2 linked regions of the Solanum lycopersicum genome follow. The main gene of each other region encodes a partner of the protein of the gene in region 2 in a complex. Links are inferred from orthologs where the notes say so. Each region holds a gene or a part of one and is shown on either strand. Other genes may lie near its edges.

Region 1 (3,768 bases), on a different chromosome or scaffold from region 2:
TAGCACTTGCAGCTGTAAACCAGGAACATGCTTTATTGTTGCTTCTCCAGTTGTTAAACGGAAAATCAGGGACATACTTTTTGTATTAGTGCACTGCTTACCTTTCCTCAATTGTATATTAAATTTTGGCAACGTATTGGCAGACTTGATTAGTTGTCCTGGACATGGTCTTGACAGATTATAAAGTAATACAGCAAGGATTTTAAGGTCGTTTTGGACGAAATTTGGATTGAAATTTATGAGAGTTATTTGTGGTTGAAACTGAAAACATGTCTCTGGTTCCCTGATCTTCCTTTTACCCTTGCATTTAGAAACACCAAAACATATATGACGAAAATCTGATGGAATGATTGAAGCATAAGGAATGAGAATATCATCTGATACTTTGCTGCACGTCAAAGGTTATATATATCAGTAGTTTATAGCTTTTTTATTATATGAAGATCAGTTTATAGCTTTTTATCATATTTGTTTAGTGCTTCTTGTAGTTCTAGATTACATGATATCAATTATAAAGATGAATATAATCCGAAGTTAAATTATCAGTTGGCAATGAATACCACTGTCAATTACAAACAAGAAGTGGCTTCCTGTTATATGGCACATCAATAAATGAACAATGTCTAAAAATATCCAATAGAGGTCTCTATTCCTTCTTTGAACCAAATTCTTCAATGGTTTTTGTTGTGAGTGTGAGTACATCTACAAATGCACTAAATGATGCACGAAGAAATCTTGCTTCAACAGCCTCAAAATTCCTGTAAAAACATTAGGAACAGTTCAGAGAGCTGAATGATGCAGAAATAGCAAGTATAATAACTTGAACACTCAGCATTCAGAAATTTTTGGTAAAGACGAGTGACATTCTTCATTGCTAATCAGAAAGCTGGGGGAGGAAGAAGCGTCACTTTGAACAAGGTTTGCTTTGACTAGGAAATTTGCTATAAAGACAACTGACTGGTGCCAAGTATATTTCAGCAAACAAGGAAGAGTTCACAAAGAACACTTACATTACTACATCTGTTGCCTGTCAATTTATGGCTCAGGCACGCAAACAAAACATTGTTTGTATCATCAAAACTATAGCGCAATATCAGTGCTTGATTTCTATAGATGATAGGAGTAAAAATGAAGCAACTAGCACATTACAATTATGTTCTTAAGAACTTGTACTTTTGGGTGCTTTTTCAGCAAATACAACATGAAGATATGTATAAATTTTGATGAAGTATGAAGATATCCATAAATTACCATCAGACACACATACACACACACGTATACATATATATATCCTGAACGTATAAGAAAATATTGACAACAATAACTCCTAACTACAGTTGGAAGTTCAAAAATCAACTGGTTTCAATAAATTCAATTGAGTAGAAGAAGCATGTGCTCACACTGAAAGCTTCCCGTTAGATACAGACATATGCCTCTTCACTTTATCAGGCTGCAACTGCAATTTTAATTGTACAAACATTGGAGCACTGGTGGATCGAAACAGATGCTACAAATGAATAAAAAACCTCAGTATCACTATACCTCCTTATCAACAGCCAATGCAGTATAGACAATATGAGCATTTTCTTCAGACCCAAGATCTACTTCCAAGTTGCTGCATAAAGTATACCTCATAAAATTCACTCCTTCGCCAAGGAATACAAATCACAAATACATTAACACAGAGTGTAACTCATTATTGCTAGTGTCTAGATGTCACAAATTTGCTACTCTGTTCTTCAGTTCCGATTCTTGATTTTAAAAAATGCATGAAGTCCCATTTCATTGCCAAATGGAACAGTAGATGGAGATGTATAGTTCACACAAGACAAAGCGGACAAGCAACAATAGAATACATTAAGTAAACGAAGATACGAAGATAGGTTTGCATCAAGAAGAGATTAGACAAATTAGGGACAATTACACACAACATGTCCCTGAAATTGAAATTTCTGCTCGCACAATTCAGTATGAAACTTTCCATATGCTCTCCACCAACAAAGCTAATACCTAACATTCAATTTACGCAGAGTCTCGACACCACAAGTTCATTCCTAGCTCAGTGTCAAGCTTCTCTACAAGTGTCTCAATGTACAATACATTAAAAATAAACAGAGAAAGCTCTACTATGACCCAATACTTAAAAAACCAGCTAACCCCCTCATCTACCCCTTAAACCATCAAAAAGAAGAAGAAAACATTAAAAAGGAGAAGTCTTTTTGATAAGGAACCATGTAAAACCATATTGGTATGTTGAAATGAATGATTAAAACCAAGAAAAAAAATTTGCAAGAGCATAAATTAATCTTTTTAATATACATTTGTTCACATAACATAAATACAAAATAATTTTCTTGAAATAATATGGATTTCTTAGTTGTAAGATGAAGAGAAAATTACCAGTTGAAGTCCCATGGAGACGCCACACCATCCATTCCTTCAGTTGCTGTACAGCAGTTGAAATTATTGGTTGATTATTAGGGTTTTTGAATTTTGGGTTTTAGTGAAAAAGTACCAAAATCTATAAACCCGACCCGCAAAAGAGTAAGTGGGTATCCTTATTAGTGTGAATCAGAAATAGGTCGTTTAGAGAAAATTGTATATAATAGCAAACTAATAATCTAAAATAAATGGAGTAGCTAAAGTTTGATTTAATTGTGCTCCATTACAAACGTTTGCAAAAATTGTCAAGCGCCTCTCTCCCAAATATCTCGCTCGCCACTCTCCTCCAATCTCTCGCTCGCTTTTTCACTTTTTATACAAACACAAGTGTATAAAAATTGTTTCTTATTGTATAAAGCAGAGAATTGTATAAATACATATATTTTTGTTTCCCTCTCTCTCCTCTTTCAAATCTTGCTCGTCACTCTTCCAAATCTAGCTCGTCACCCTCACTTTTCTCACTTACACAAACAGAAGCAAAATGTATAAATTGTGTTTCTATTTGTATAAAACGCGAAAAAATTGTATATACACATTCAAGTACATATATTTTCGTCCTATACACTTATAAGTTATAATTATACAATAAAATACTCCCCTGCCCATTTTCTTTTGTCTTTCTCTCTTTCTCGTTTTATACACTTTTCAAATTGTATCTAATTTCTCTCTTTCTCATTTTATACAATTCGATTCAATTGTATATTCCTTGTCAAGTCTCTTTTGTCTTTCTCTCTTTATCATTTTATACAATAACAAATTGTATACAATTCGTTTTATACACTTCATTTTTATACAGTTCTCTGCCCAAGTGTCTTTCTCTTTTTTGTTTTATACACTTCGTTTTATACAATTTGCTTTAACTGTATATGTATAGCGAATTATACAGTTTCTATGTTTGCTATGGAGCACAATTATGCAAACTTTGCTATAGCATACAAATATGAATTTTTTATTTGCTATATGTGAAAGTTGCCCTTTAATATACTACTCATTCGGTCCCTTTTTACTTATCTAATTTTTCTTTTATACTTATCCATTTTAACTTATCAAAAAAAGACAATTTTTTAATTATATTTTTAATTAATTAATTTTTAAAAAATAAAATAAAAACTTATTATATTAATTATTATTTTCTTAATAGATATGTCAAATAAAAAATAGACAAATAAATAAGAACATAGAAAGTATGTGAATTTGAGTTCAGCTAAGTCCCCGTATAAATATTGAGTATTGAATGGACAATGCCTTTGCCTTTAGAATTATCATGATTTTTAATTTTTACCCCTCGAATTGATTTTCCTATTTTTTTTTATTTATATATATATG
Region 2 (3,929 bases):
GTCTCCCCAAAAATCCTATACCGTCCTTCACTATACGCAATAACCTGAGTATTTCCACCACTCACGTATAGCACAACCGGATCAACCGCCCCGGTTACGATTCGACCCATTTCAATGTGCGCAACACAGTGGTTCACCCCAACAATAGGTTTCTTCCATAGCTGAGATAGAACACGTACAACCACTGCCGAAACCTGCAGTGGAGCACCCATCCCAGGGCCTTTTGTGTAGCAGATACAGTCAATTTCATCGGGAGTTACTCCGGCGGTTTCTAGAGCGGATTTTACTAACGGTAAGATGTGTTGGTGGTGATGCTGGGCGGTTTCACGGGGGAGAAAACCTTGGCCTGGTGGCGTTATGTAGGTGTGTCGTGGATTAGAAAGAATTGTGCCGTCGATTGCTACTACGCCGACGCCAATTTTGTTGGCGGAACCCTCGAACCCTAGGGCTATCAATTTCTTATCCTTCATTGCCGCCGCCGTCGGAGGATTAGGGTTTAGCAGTCAAATGAGCAGTGACGATAAGGGTTTGGTCTCTCTTCTCCCAGAAAATTGGACTTGTTTAGGGGACGAGGCCTAATACTTTTCCTATATTACACTTAAACACCTCTATACTATAGCTTAATTACAAATCCACATTTTATATTTTATAATCAACAAAACAACATATGTGGTGAATTTCGACTAGTGGAGTCTCTGATAGGGGTTGGCATTCGATATTCGGTTTCAAATTTTGAGTTTGTTAATATCATTGGTAGTTGAAAGTAGATATCAAAATTTCAAATTTTTAAAATTCAATTTGGTAATTTGATAATCGGCAAATTAAGTTTTAATTTTGTGCGATACTCGGTTATACTGTATTGAAGTTGTAGCTGATTGTATTATGAAGTTAATACTATTTTTTCAATTAATTTTCTTTTTAATTTGGAGACATGATATAATAGAAAATCAACAAGCAAGAAGACATCAAAAAAAGCAATTTGATTCAATTAAAAGACATATGTATTTGACTTGTATGTTTATTCTTTTACTTTCTCATTGAACTTGTACTAATCATATATTTATATAAAAGAGAACTCTAGGCCCGCCTACGTGGCGCCACCACAAGTAAGAATTTCCTTTCAAAATTATTTATTTCCAAAACTAGCCTTCCTCTTTTATAAAAAAGAATTTGACTTTTATGAAAAGTAGCAACTTAACTGAAGAGTTGCGACTTTTATGAAAAGTCTGACTTTAATGAAGAGTTGCGACTTCTTTCAAAAATTGTGACTTTAATGAAGAATTGCAACTTTATGAAAAGCTGCGACTTTTATGAAAGGTTGATTTTTCTCAAGGGTTGCAATTTTTTCAGATAATTGTAACATTTTCGATAAGACACAATAAACATTGGTTCACACTACACTTTTTTGTCTATAAATGGAGGAATTTCCTCTCATTTTAAAACAACAAAAGATTTGATCTTCTTTTTCTACTTCCGCAAAGTTAAATATTATTGTGTTTTGCTCCTGTTGAGTGACTTACTAACACCATTATTTTGTATCAATAAGTTAGTGAATAAAAAACGTTCCATTCTTAGATAATGTAATTCTTTAAACTTGTGGTATTGGAGGGGAATAAGTGAACATTATGCATTCAGTGGACTCGATTTTTTTCTTTTTATTTCATTCTATTTTTACATATACTGGTATGTTTTTTATACTCATTAATTTATGCATATGATATAGATTGTTGTTTTTAATACATGTTTTAAACTCTATTATTTATGTTTCTGCAAAGTTATTGTATCCGATTATATTGAGCATATACACATTTAGTACATATATTCATTGTGTAGAAAATAATTATTGTACTCAGTTCCAATAATTCATATTTTGATATTCTATATTAAATTCTATAACTTAAAGTGCTATATGTAAGCTTACATATTATTTATTTTTACATGGATATGAAATTTCTGATTTATCAATTGAAGAAATTCATTATGCAAGTTCAAAAGTTATAATTGTTTTCATGTTCAAACTTAATTTTTTTTTTTGAATATGTTAACAATTTTTTGAATTTTCTCCTCAGACATATATCACAATTGTATAATCTATGCAACTTAATTGTTTCCTTTTCTACGAAACATCTTTGTATATATATTCTTATTTTCTTCTTTATTTTTCTTTTAAATGTTGATTAAAGAGCCAATGATTTATTATTTCGTAAATAATGTATTCATTAGAGGTTCTTGAGTTATGTGATAATGACAAATAATCAAATTCATGTTGGAATATTGCTAATATTTTTTTAATAACCTATTTTCCATTATTTTTAATTATGATATTAGTTAAAAATTATTTGCAAGTTCAATGCAATTATTATTTATGACGGTGCAAAAGCGTGGCAAATTACCTAATGAATAATAAACATGTTGATAGTGACTTCATTAAGTAAATAATCAAGAAAATATCAAATATCAAATGATTTTAATGTCTAATACCAAATTCAAACCCAAATATCATAATTCTAAAATTTTACTCTCGGATAGCATATTAAATTTCGAGTTATCGAATATCAAATCACCAAAAAATTTGGTTCGATTCAATAGTTTAATTTTTGATATTTTATGCTCAATTTTAAGGTGCAAAAATAGTAGATTGTGTGCAAATTTTATCACCACCACGTTAAGATTAAAAGGTTGTTTTGAGAAAAGCTCTTAGCTCAACAGCAACAAATCTAAGTACATAAAACAAAGTAGAAAATGTAGCAACTAATAAAGGAAGCAATGCAAAACCTATGTTAAAAAAACAAAATAAAAATAAAAATAGTGCGATAAGCAACACACTATACAACAAATAATGATATATATCAAAAGTCTAACCCCTCAAATAGAAAAAATTATTCTTCACTATCTACTAATCTTCTATCATCGTACGCGACTTTCATACCATATTATCTTAAGGTCATATTATTCATAAGTTGAAAATATGTCATATTTGCCTAATCACCTCTTTCTAATACTTCTTTGACATGTCACCTATCTCTTTACTCCTCGACTTCACTACTACAACCTAATGATACATTATCTCTCAAAAATTATATATTTTCTAAGAAAAAAAAGGTTAAATACTTAAATGAAATTTCATCAACCTAAATATATTTAAATAATTTAAAAGAAAAGTATATATTAAAAAACTCAAATAAAAAAGACAAGTTCTCATAAACTAAATATTACAAATAAGTTATATATTTAAAGTGCACTAAAGTTTCTTTTTTATTTTTCATCCAATTCAATATTCGATATATATATTAGAGCCTAACTAAATTCGAATTTGCATTAAAAAGTAACTAAACTAATTACAATTATTAGTGAATATATCTTATGAAATGACTATAGTAATTACAATTATTAGTAAGTATATCTTACTAAATAGTAAATAATTTGTAATCATTTTCTATATATCTTATTAAAAGGGGGGAAAAAAAAGAAAAAAGAACTCCCAATTAATATTTCTCAAAAGAAAAAATGTATAAACAAAAGGTAGGGAACAGGATATCTTCCATGAGACCCACCTCATGGAATGACCTACCAACAAAAAATTCCAAGTGACACTCACCAACTTTGCTAAACAACTTTGTTGACACCTCAACCCACCAGCCACCATTGTCTTCCCTATTTTTATTGCTTCCACTTTCTTCTATAACTCTACTGTACTTTTTATTTTCCATTTTCCCCTAATACATACAATACAAGTGTTGGCACAGCTCTACATCCAAAGCAGATTCCTAAAAGAAAAAAATGGCTACAAAGTTGTGGGCTTCAAGGGCTGCTTCATATCTCAGGATCTCAGCATTTCACAGGGCTTTTGCCACTGGTAATGGAGTTGTATTATTGTTTCTGGAATTACCCTCTTACCCTTTTGTTCGAATGCTTTGAGTTATGTGGAT

Evidence for each region. Proteins that work in one complex are often made in the same cells at the same time.
Region 1: the proteins of uncharacterized protein (region 2) and uncharacterized protein are in contact, whole or in part, in a cryo-EM structure (PDB 8K20), measured with the Arabidopsis thaliana proteins. The link is inferred for Solanum lycopersicum from reciprocal best matches to the Arabidopsis thaliana genes AT4G22720 and AT5G53045. Residues at the interface, in NP_194003.1 of Arabidopsis thaliana: Arg47, Leu54, Leu58, Gln91, Val92, Ile95, Arg98, Val99, Leu100, Gln102, Leu103, Ile319, Glu320, Asp321, Ser322, Phe324; in NP_850925.1 of Arabidopsis thaliana: Ile33, Thr36, Ser37, Val40, Asp41, Lys42, Ala78, Asp81, Val82, Leu85, Arg88, Thr89, Ile90, Phe93.

Annotation. Positions count from the first base shown.
Region 1 is NC_090802.1:49,623,286-49,627,053, reverse strand, and holds uncharacterized protein, read right to left. Parts: upstream 2,532-3,768; 5' UTR 2,436-2,531; coding exon 2,401-2,435; intron 1,616-2,400; coding exon 1,543-1,615; intron 1,508-1,542; coding exon of another isoform or gene 1,457-1,507; coding exon 1,401-1,456; intron 759-1,400; coding exon 647-758; 3' UTR 501-646; downstream 1-500.
Region 2 is NC_090801.1:54,824,854-54,828,782, reverse strand, and holds the start of uncharacterized protein, read right to left. Parts: upstream 2,801-3,929; 5' UTR 471-2,800; coding exon 1-470. Other genes in the region: glycine cleavage system H protein 2, mitochondrial, read left to right, coding at 3,781-3,856.